Callithrix jacchus: one gene and its partners. The protein of the gene in region 3 interacts with the protein of the main gene of each other region in a pairwise test. Links are inferred from orthologs where the notes say so. Each region holds a gene or a part of one and is shown on either strand. Other genes may lie near its edges. The genes, in order: ABHD17A, MELTF and HPGDS.

Region 1 (3,141 bases), on a different chromosome or scaffold from region 3:
AGCTGGTGGCAAGCAGAGAAGGCCTCCAGAGGCCCGCCCGGGTCTCCGTGTCCAGAGCAGCACCGGCCCAGTGCTCAGACACCCGTGAAGGGGCCAAGCCAGTGCGGGCTGGGGACCCCGATGACCAGAAGGGCCAGGCCTGGTGTCGAGGCTGGCCAGACCTTGAGTGTGTGCTGGAGCCTGCAGGCTCCACCCGGGATGGCCCAGCTCACCGCCACGGGGCCTCATGGGCCAGGCCCCAGGACATGGACGCAGCAGCCTCAGCCTCACCTGCACCCCAAGTGCTGCCTTGGCCCGTGGGCTCCCAGCCATACGTGCACAGACCTCCAGACACCACCTACCCCTCCCACCAGGTGGCATCCACGCCCGTGACAAGCTCAGCCCCCTCCAGTCCTCAGGCCAGGGGCTCCCAGGCTAGGGTGTGGGAGGACCGCCTGGCCCCACCTCAGCCATGTGCAGGCAGCAGCCACACTCCCAAGCTCACCTGTCCCGCTCTCTGGCCCCACGTGTCCACGGTGGCTCCCCTCCTGCAGGACCACCCACACCACCCACCTTCCTCCCAGGGAAGCCCACCCCGGGCCCCCATCCTGGCGTCCTCTCGGGTGAGCTGCCCCGGGGCCGCCCTCACCTGGTGCGCAGGGCCTGCCAGGCGGCATCAATGTCGGCATAGAGGTTCCTCTCGGAGGGCCTGCCCGAGCTGGCCCCGTAGCCGGAATAGTCGTAGGAGAAGATGTTGCAGTGGAGGCGGGAGCCCAGGCCAATATAGAAGCTGCTCATCTGGCCCAGGTCCACGGCATTGCCGTGCGAGAAGAGGACCGTGTACCTGCAGCAGGCGGAAAAGGCCACTCACAGCCCTCATCTCCACGTCCCAAAGCCCAGCTCCAGGGCAGGGGGACTCTGCTGACAGCCCACCCTGTGGCCAGCCACGCCCAGTGCCTCGTTTACTCCCCTCCCGGAGCACGGGGGGGGGGGGTGGGGGGGGGCGCAAAAGGGAGGGGAGGCTACAACAGCCCAGCTCCATCTCAAAGGGCTCCCCACGGGGAGAGGACAGCAGAGCTGGCAGGGGACACGCAGCCTGGGATGCAGAGGCCAGCAGGGGAGCCTCAGGATTCCCATGTGTGACGCAGGACACTGGGACCATCGGTTACATCACCTGCTCAGGACAGACTCGCCGAGTATGCCCAGCTGCTGGGGGGCTTTGCTGCCCCAGAGCCTTTCCCCCTGGAGGACCCTGGACACTGGTGGGGGGCGGGGGAGAGGAGCGTACAGGCCCACCTTTCAGGACCTTCTCAGGGGAGCCTGCAAGGCTGCCAGCAGAGCTATCTGCCCCCCTCACAGAATGTTCTCCTCACTGTTGGGGACAAATGGACCCCAGCCCTGCCCCCAACAAGCAAACGCAGCCAATCCCTGCTCACACTCGCACAGCCCCTCCCGTCCCACCACTGTGCCCGAGCCCGGAGGCCGTGCTGCGAGGCCTGTCTGTTCCGGGCCCGGGAGCTGCCCCAGATCACGCCAGGAGCAGGCGGCCAGGCTGGCCTCCCATGGACTGCTCCCCTCCAGTTCCCCAGGCCCCTGCCCAGCCCGGCCGGAAGCTAAAGGCTCGCCCTTTGGACTCAGATCTGGTCAGAACTCCGCCGGGTGAGAAGGCGGAAGCACCCACATGCCAGGATAGCCCCTCTGCCCCACCTCTCGCCCGGCAAGCAACCAGCAAGGTGCTGGGCCACTGGAGTTGCCCAGACTGCCTGCCCATGCCAGCTGGGGAGGGCCTCCCTGAGCCTGGTGTCCTCATATGCAAGAGGAAGTCACCAGAGGGATGAGGCCAGCCTGGCCGGGGACACCACCCATGCCGGCCGGACAGCCCTTCACAGCAGGCTCGGGCCCTCTGGGGCGCCACCAAGAATGCCAAGCACCCCAGGCGGAATGGGGAGCCCCAAGCACAGGGTGACCCAGCACAGGTAGGGCCGCACTGCTCACCTGGCGCTGGGCACGCAGCGAACATACATGCAGGCGACGCGGTTGCCGCGGGCGCTCTTGGTGGGGAAGACCTCGATGGTGTCCAGCTCGCGCTGGCTGTACTGGAAGTCGGCGCGCTCCGTCAGGTGCAGCTTCCAGCGCCCCGGTGCACCCGAGGAGGCCCGCAGGGTCCCCAATGAGGTGGCCCCGGCCCCACCAGGCCCCGGCTCAGGCTCAGGCACCAGGGAATAGGTGGCCTCTGGCGGCAGGAAGGCGAGCTTGGCAGCGATGCGACCAGGGCAAGGCGGGCAGCAGAACAGGCAGCAGAGCTCACTCAGCGACAGCCCGTTCATGGCGGGCACCGCCCAGGCCGGGCCTCCTCCGGGGCCCCCGCCAACAACGCCGCCCGGCCTGGCCCGGCAGGGAAGGGGTGGGGGTGCTCCGAGTCGTGGGCAGGGGGGAGGGTGCCCCCCCAGCCACTGCCCCAGATGAGAGCCCCGTTAGGAGGCCAGGGCCCAGCCCCATCGCGGTCCACGCCGAGCCCCCAGGAGTCTTGCAACCACCGGTCTCCATGTCGTGCCACGGGAAGCCCTGCAGGGGAACACGGGTGTGTGGGGCCCTTTGGAGGTGCCTCAGTCCAGCTGGGTGCCCCTGGGAGGCGGGGCATCCACAGGGGCGAGGGTGCGGCATGGGCCTGTGTGTGGCCCGTCCTCATCCCCTCGGCCCTCCCTCAACCTGTCCGGCACTGTGCCCTGCGGCTCGGCGAACCCCCAAACTCAAACCCCTCTCCATGGGATGAAGGCCCCCACCCTCCCTCAGCTGGCCATCACCCACCCCCTTTTGCCATATGAATACAGCCACAGCGTGTGGGGATATGACCCCAGCCCCACCCACCCCCATAATGCCCGGCCCTAGCACCAGGGAAACCCCACGCCCCCAGGACTCGGTCTGCACTGCTGCCTGCCTACTCCCACCCCTGGCCCATCTCTGCCCCCCAGTGCCCCCTGTGTCGGGCGGCCGGGGCAAGGACAGAGCTCAGACAGAAGGGACCCACGGGGCACCCGAACAGGCCCTGCTACGTGCTGGAGCACAGGGGCCAGGCCCCGCCGGCCTGCGACTCTGGAGACAGAGGAAGCAGAACAAACAAACGTTCTGGAAACAAAGGCCGGACACATTCCAGGCTCCAGA
Region 2 (3,646 bases), on a different chromosome or scaffold from region 3:
CCCCGCTGCGGCCAGGTGGGGCTTCTGAAACAGGCCATGCAGCTAAAGAGATGCTTCTTCCTCAAAGCCCCAGAGGTAGACAGATTGAGGTGACAGGTTCCCGCACAGGCTGAGAGGCACATCCCAGGCCTCCCGGGTGAGCATCTTCCCCTGGCCACTTTCCTAGAGAGCCTCGCCATGCCTACGGTCAAGCTGGGCTGGAGCGGGCAGCAGTCAGGACAGATGAACTTACGGTTGGGGTCACAGAGCAGACCCTTCATGGCGTGCAGGTACTCGTGGCCCAGCCACGCCTCGTAGGTCTGTGTGGCAATGGGCACAAGCTCAGAGGTGGAGTCCTTGAACATCAAATTCTTCTGGCCATAGGCATCAGAGCTGAACATCTGGAAGCTGCTGCCCTCGTGGCTGAACAGACGCTGTGTGTCAAGGGGTGGGGTATAGGGTGGTGAGGGTGCTGACAGGCCACATCCTTTCCTCCCATTTCAGCCACCACCTCCTTTTCCCCTGACCTCACACTAGGCACCCACTCTGAGGACCAGGGGAGGCCTCTCTCCCTCTTCTGCAGCATCTCCCCCAATCCGCCATCCCCTTCCCCTGGGCCCTGCCAGTTCTGGGTCTGCGCGGAGTTCATTCAGCATCATCACATTCAGCTGTTTGGACACATAACTGTGGCCAGGGGTGGGAGGGCCCTGAGGACATGCCATGGGGCTGGCAATAGCAGCCTGGATGGGGCAAAACTGAGTCCGGGACAGCAGCAGTTAGAAATATATGGCTGTCCTAAGCAGTGGTTTTAGCAAAACCTTATTCACCACATTTAGTTAATGGTGTGCTTTGAAAGGCATTGGTTTTGTCAGTTTTGCTCGTTATGTTCTGGTTTTGGCTCGTAGAGACACAAGTACCAGGAGCTTCCTCTGAGGGTGCCTAAGTCTCTCGGTCCCCCTCTCGTGGCCAGCCCTCCTCCCAGTCAGCCAGAGCAGTTGGTTCCTTACACTGACCTGACCCGAGGCTGGGGTCCATCCCAAGGACAGTCTCTGGGTCCTGCCCCTCCTGGTCCCACCCTGATGAGCAACCACAAGGCCCAGCACCACCTGGGAAGCTGTGCAAGGGGACCAGGGGACCCTGAGCCCACCTGGCCTTCATTGAGCAGCCGGAAGATGAGGCCCCCATCTGTGTCAGCCCGGACTACCACGGCGTGAGCAGGCACCCGGGCCAGGTGGCACTGCCTCCACTCAGTGACGTCGGCCCAGCTGCCATCCCGGCACAGCAGCTTGAAGTCCTGTGACAGCAGGGCCTGGCCCCAGGAGGGCAGTGTCTTCCCTGGGAAGAAGGAAGCCTGGGCTGAGCCAGCTCCTAAAGGGGTTGTGGTGGGTGGCGGGGAAGGCGTAGGACAGGAATTCTGGGGGATGGCTGGGTGTCGTGGACACGAGAACCCAGCACTCAGGAGGTGACAGAGCTCAGCAGCCGCACCCAACTCCAGGTATCTACAAGACTCTATCTCATTCCTCCCATTTTCTAGCTCTCACCAATTTCTATTGCTAAAATGGATTGGAGGTATCTGACAGTAATACAATACTTAGAAATAGGACTATCTCTTCAAGATAAAAAGAGTAAGAAAATAAAGGCTTTGGATGAGAGAGACAAATGTACCAAGAGTCTAGGATGGCTCAAGGCTGCCATGGGGCAGTACCTTTGGCTCTGAGCAGTGGGCACGGGTCAGGGCTCAGGGGGCAGGGGCCATGGTGGAAACGCACCCCGCCAGAAAGGGGAACTCCCTAACTCCAGCTATTCATATTTGGATGGATTTCTTTCAAGTCCTTTTTCTATTTTATTTCCTGTCTTTTGCCCACTTTTAACCTGGTTAAGGACATAGTCGACAGGCAATTCTCATCCTACTTGGTAGAGAATTTTTCCACAGTACTGAAAACTTTCCATAAACTCACTTATTTCTCAACAGAAAAGAAAACTTGAAAGAGTAACTATTAACACCAAATAGGGATTCTGAGAAGATGAATATTAAGGACTATAATTAAACCACAGATGGTCCTACATAACAATATTTTTGTGACTTTAAGACAAGGAGGGAAAAAAACCTCTACATGGAAATAGGCAGGAAAAGATCATTTGTACTGTCACGAAAGCTTTCCCTGCAAAGCTATTATCAAACAAAACCCAAAACCCGCAACGGAGTAATAGTTTGGAAAAACTCCATGAAGGTCATTTTTAATGGCCACATGGTACTTTACAGCACTCTTAATTATTCAGTGCGACTCTCCCCACGCTTCCCAATTTTCCTCTGTTTTTAGGCTGCTGCAAAACAGAGGTTAGATCTCTGGGGTATCATTTGCCTTCACACAGACAAATGCATCATTTAGGTACTTCCATCAGCCACTCCCACTTCTCATCAGCCAAGAACAATGACAATCACTTATGCCAATTCTACTCTTTTGCGCTTATCAATCTTTTTGTATAAAGTTAATTAAAAATTACTTCCTTAGATTTCCTTAGACTACCATCAAAACTTTGAGGCCAGGTGCAGTGGCTCACTTGACAGGACACCATGGCTCCCAGCACTTTGGGAGGTCGAGGTGGGCAGATCATGAGGTCAGAAGTTCAAGACCAGCCTGGCCAACATAGTGAAACCCCGTTTCTACTAAAAGTACAAAAAAACCCCAAAATACCAAAAAACAAAATAGCCAGGCATGGTGGTGGGTGCCTGTAGTCTCAGCTACTTGGGAGGCTAGGCAGGAGAATCGCTTGAACCTGGGAGGCAGAGGTTCAGTGAGCCGAGATCGTGCCACTGCACTCCAGCTTGGGCGACACAGCAAGACTCTGTCTGAAAAATACTACTACTAATAAAAGGCTGGGCGCAGTGGCTCACGCCTGTAATCCCAGCACTTTGGAAGGCTGAGGTGGGTGGATCACAAGGTCAAGAGATCGATACCATCCTGGCCAATATGGTGAAACCCCATCTCTACTAAAAATACAAAAATTAGCTGGACTTGGTGACGCACACCAGCTACTTGGGAGGCTGAGGCAGGAGAATCACTTGAACCTGGGAGGTGGAGGTTGCAGTGAGCACAGATAGCGCCATTGCACTCCAGCCTTGAGACAGAGCGAGACTCTATCTCATTTAAAACAAAAACAACTTTGGGGGTCCAAAGTGGCTCCAGCCGGATGTCGTGGCGCTTGCGAAGGCGAGGTCGTGAGTTCAAGGCTCACACTGATTGGCAAAAAAAGAAAAGAAAAACAACTTTGAAAAAGCTTCCAGATGCATGCCTGTAATCCCAGCTCCTCAGGAGGCTGAGAAGCGAGGATCAATTGAGGCAGGGGGTTTGAGACCAGCCTGGGCAACAAAGTGAGATCCCATCTTAAAAAAAACCCCAAGTTTGAAAAAGCTGATTCATATTCCTATTCTTTTCCCATCTTCCAAATTCTCCTTTGTCTGACTCATCTTGGGGTCTGTGAACAGGGGCCCCTTTTCATAGGACCGCCCAGTAGCACACATCATCCTACATGCTTTGGTGTGTGCAGATTACTTGTTTTCCTCCTCAGATCTGGTCCATGTTTGCCTTCATGATGGACCACGTGATGGACTTTCTGATTTAAAAGGCAATGATCAATAACAGCGAAAAAAGACAATGACTTTTTT
Region 3 (4,424 bases):
ATGAAAAATCAACAAAATTAAAAACCTCTTAGCAAACGAGTAATAGAATACTTCCTTAACACTATAAAGAGTCTCTACTAAAAACTTACAGCAAACATCATATATAATGGTGAACCAATAAAAGCATTTTCTTTAATGTGAGGAATAACAAGAATCCCACTGTAACATCTGCTATTCAGCATAATGCTGGACAGTCTGGCTAATTCAATAATGAAAGACAATAATAAATGACATTTATAAGTAGTAGGAAGAGAGTGACAGAGCTGTCCATTTGCAATCAAATTGATTGCAAATCACTGAAAATTATTCAAGAGATTCTACAGATAAACTGGATCCTAGATTTCAAATGGAAATGTGAAGGACCGAAACAGCGAAGACAAACAGAAAAGGAGAACAGAAGAGGAAGACTTGATGTAGCAGATAGCAAGAGTTAGATACAAAGCCTTGTAATGTGATATTTGTTCAGACGTGCATCAAGAGTGTTAAAACAGAACCTCACATAAAGGACAGACATGACAGAGAGTGAGGACATAAAGCAACGACTAAAATGGTTCTGAGACAACAGAGGGAAAATAAGCATAAATAGACCTCAACTTTCTATCGCGCACAGAAGTAACACCTAGGTTATCTGGTTATGATTTGATTACCCCAGCAAAACTGTAATATCGTTCTGGTCCCTTATTTCCTGTTAGCTTTGTTTCTGAACCCGTCCACTGTCACTGTGTTAGGAATCTCATGTACAGAAAACTGCACGTTTGCTGAAGTGATAAGCATGAAGTTAAAAAGTTGATTGTGTTTGAAGATCTTTACATCTAAAATTAACCACTGGCTTCCTTATACCCCAAAGTAAATCATGTGAAGTTACTGATTCAGCAGATAGATTAAAAAAGCTCATTTAGAATTCTTTTTGAAGACTAACCTATACCGTTTCTCAAAGAACACATAAATAAATAACTAATAAATACCCTGGATAGAAACTTACATATATAAACTCATCCGTACCTGCTGTGCCAAGGGAATCACCGGAAAGCACACTGTCCCTGGGAACCAAGGTCCCCTGGGCCTGAGGTGTCTAACCAAATAACCCAATGGCAGGATTAAGGATGCCTGGAACAAGTGCCAGCAGGAGCCATCACCCTCAGAAAGCCCCAGGTAAAGCTAGCCGTGAAGGTCCAGGAAGCCAGTCTTCTCCTGGGCGCTGGCATGGCCTTCTCAGTATCTCTCTCCTGCCCTGGAAACTTGGTGCTGGTATAGAAAAGTTAATACTTCTATTCAGTTACTATAAGCTATCTCAAAAGTTAATAACAAAGAAAGGTTGCTAATTCTCTCTGCAAAAAGCATCTATCTCTACGAACCAGCTTAACTCTTCAGGTACCATAGCTTAAAAAAATAAAAAGGGCCCTAAATCTGCTAACAACAAAAAGGAGGGAAACCTGTTTCTAGGAAAAATGCTGCTCTTTTGTAAACCAGTTAAGTGTTATTTTAAACGTAGAACTCAGGAATCAATCAAAAAAGGGGCTAGAAACTTTCAAAATCCTGGCTCTGTTCTCTCCTAGGCTCGTTTATAACTCTGCACCTCTCATCTTTAACCACCTGGTCATATTCATTTCTTATAAAACCATAAGGTCACAATTAATCCTGCCGCTCTATCATAAATCTGTAAATCAACCTGCACCCTTAAAGGGCTCCACTCTGGAGGAAACCTCAACTGCAGGGCCCCTTCTACAACCCATTTCAGCACGAAGTAGTTAAAGAGGATCGATGCCCCTATTCCAACAAAAGTTGAATTTTCCTGTTCAGATGAGGGAATAAGGGATTGTGTTCTCTTTCCGGGTACATGAGGGAGCGTAGTTTTAAGGGCAAGAATTTCCCAATGCCATGCCCCCCTCCCATCTCTCCATCAGGGAGATTCAAAGGTTTATGTTTGAATTTCGAGGCCGCGGGGGGCGGGGGGGGAAGGGAAGCTAAGAGTCAATCACTTCAGCGGAAGTTGTAAGGAACTCCTTTCATTGGCCTAAGGAACTTGGGAAGGTGGGAGTTTCTCCCAGAATAAATTCCCCTGCTCCTTCACCCATGCCGGATTTCCAGCTCTCTGGAATCCCATCCCACACGGTGGGAGCTCCCTTTCCCCTCTAGATTTCCCCTCTGGAATCCCCTTCCACACTCTTCGTGGAAGTCTTTCTCTTCTCCTTTCCTTCTCTTTTCTCTGCCTAAATAAAATCACCTTTCTGCAACACTTCTTCGGTCCAGTATTTACTTCCACAAGCATACGGCACACCTGCAGTGGTCCCATCGCTTATTCTTTAAGAGGTTAGAGGCCAAGAACCCACAGCATTCTCTCAGGTGAGCTGTGCCTCACCAGTACCCAAGAAAAAAACCGGTTACAATGGGATGCAATTCTTGTCAAAACATGGAGATGCTTCAACAAAATGTGGCTTAAAATAATAGAAAGTATTACAAGTAAAATTCTTAAACTTTAAAGAAAAGGAAAGAAAGTGAAGAGCCATGAGATAAAATTCCCTACTCGATCAATCCAAGAGATTGAAAAATCTCTTGGGAAAATTCTGGCAGTAGTCACAAACCCCGATTAAGACAGGATTTTTCCTCTAGCATTGATTATATTTTCTATGTTAAAATCCACTTGAAGAGATCTTTTTAAATCTCCTGTACCTAATTTCTCTTAAAAATGACCATTGGATTTTTACAGAGTCATATATACGGTGAGGCTCTGGGTAAACAAGGTCAGAGTGAGTACCGTCATGAAAATAGCTCACAAAAGAGTTCCTCAGTCACTAATCTCTGCGGAGTTCAATAATATTACTTACCTGTGTTGTGTCTCTCAGGAGTCTGTAGTGTCCTCTATCCCTTGGTATATGACTGTGCCTTGGGTTTTTATGACGAGTAAGTGATAATCACAAGCCAATGAGAGGACAGGCAACTTCCTTCCACCTAAAGCTCTTCTTTCTTTTCTTAGATGAAACACGCATGCCAGGCAATTCAAGCCTGCAAAGACTGCTGGTTATACAGGATATCTGGGTGTAAATAACCCAACTCATTTGCATAAAAGGTAAAGTCAAAGTTATAGCTGCATATGTATGCCCACTGTTACATTTACTTTTAGTTTCACACCATAGACTCTTGGAGAATAAGACAACCTGAATGCAATTCAGTCATCTTTGCATATGGACACATGGCTTGCTTCCCTATTTTAGAAACAGTTTCTCCCGTGCCTGCGGTATGTTCCTTCAAGGGAGTGTCTAACAATGTCATGTATTTCATTTGCTTGTTTTTGGTTTCCCCTAGTGGAACGTAAGCTCTGTAAAGGCAGGCAGTTCACTGTCTTGTTTACTGTTACCTCCTCAGTACTAAGAGGAGTGCCAGCCATGTCATGGGCACTGATAAACATTTGATGATAGAATGACCCTAATTTATAGTTCACATCTTTTCAAAGACTGTAAATTTGCATTGCTGCTGGTATATTTCATTTACCCTCATTTCTCAGAAAAGCCAAAGGGTTTAAAGTAAACCTGGTGTAGAAGTTTCCAATTCTTCTTGCTTGTGATCCTTTTACAATTTAGTAACAAATGCCTAGACATTTGAGAAATTTATTTTTCACTTCTTGTGCAGGAATTAATTTCATCTATGATATTAGGACAGCACAGTGAAAAGATCAAATAAAATGACCTCTGGGCCTTACTGAGCCTGAGGATTGTTCATGAAACATTTTAATGACCAGAAGGCTTTCAACTTCCAGGAAATTACTCCCACAGGCAGCAATAGCAACCTCTCAATCACGTCTTATTTCTGATTTCTAAAGTGACTTTAACTTCAAAAAATATGTTTACATCCACTTGGTATAAACATCAGAAATGAAAATAAATATAAATACTTGTTTGTAAAAAGTTAGAGTAGACACAAGTGTAGCTCTGAATCACCAAAAAACGATACATGTGTGTCAAAATCAAGTGCAAATGGGTTGGGAGTGGGAGCTATACAAAATTAACACAATGTATTTATCATCTTTGATAGTTCTAACTTACATTTTCAAAAAATCTTTTTATCCTCACCTCAATGATTTTTAATTCCTGTTTTTATAAATAAGGAAATTGAAACTTGGGAAATTAGGTAAATTGCCTGTGAATTTTTGATGAGACAAGCTAGAATTAAAACCTAGGCCTTCTGATGACACATTTAATATTTTTCCCTACAGGATGCTGCCTCTCTATATAATAAGAGACTGCTTCAGTTAAAAAAAAAAAGTCAAGTATACAAAAAATAGCATTTGTCTCATTTTGTATTACAGTTTTCTTCCTTACAACCAGTTGTTTTGGCTAGAGGAAAGCAAAGTAACACTTCACGGATTGGGGAAGGAGCCGCCACTTGATCCTTGGTCACGGATCCACAGAGGCTGCTCTGGAGACACC

Evidence for each region.
Region 1: the proteins of HPGDS (region 3) and ABHD17A interact in binary tests that used the Homo sapiens proteins (3 or more experiments, as listed by UniProt). The two-hybrid records come from large-scale screens. The link is inferred for Callithrix jacchus from reciprocal best matches to the Homo sapiens genes HPGDS and ABHD17A.
Region 2: the proteins of HPGDS (region 3) and MELTF interact in binary tests that used the Homo sapiens proteins (3 or more experiments, as listed by UniProt). The two-hybrid records come from large-scale screens. The link is inferred for Callithrix jacchus from reciprocal best matches to the Homo sapiens genes HPGDS and MELTF.

What each region holds. Positions count from the first base shown.
Region 1 is NC_133523.1:1,781,815-1,784,955, forward strand, and holds part of ABHD17A (alpha/beta hydrolase domain-containing protein 17A), read right to left. Parts: intron 2,545-3,141; 5' UTR 2,307-2,544; coding exon 1,975-2,306; intron 824-1,974; coding exon 629-823; intron 1-628. UniProt on the Homo sapiens protein: Hydrolyzes fatty acids from S-acylated cysteine residues in proteins. Has depalmitoylating activity towards NRAS. Has depalmitoylating activity towards DLG4/PSD95. May have depalmitoylating activity towards MAP6.
Region 2 is NC_133516.1:25,126,154-25,129,799, reverse strand, and holds part of MELTF (melanotransferrin), read right to left. Parts: intron 1,315-3,646; coding exon 1,127-1,314; intron 414-1,126; coding exon 233-413; intron 1-232. UniProt on the Homo sapiens protein: Involved in iron cellular uptake. Seems to be internalized and then recycled back to the cell membrane. Binds a single atom of iron per subunit. Could also bind zinc.
Region 3 is NC_133504.1:103,242,605-103,247,028, reverse strand, and holds the start of HPGDS (hematopoietic prostaglandin D synthase), read right to left. Parts: upstream 2,869-4,424; 5' UTR 2,826-2,868; intron 1-2,825. UniProt on the Homo sapiens protein: Bifunctional enzyme which catalyzes both the conversion of PGH2 to PGD2, a prostaglandin involved in smooth muscle contraction/relaxation and a potent inhibitor of platelet aggregation, and the conjugation of glutathione with a wide range of aryl halides and organic isothiocyanates.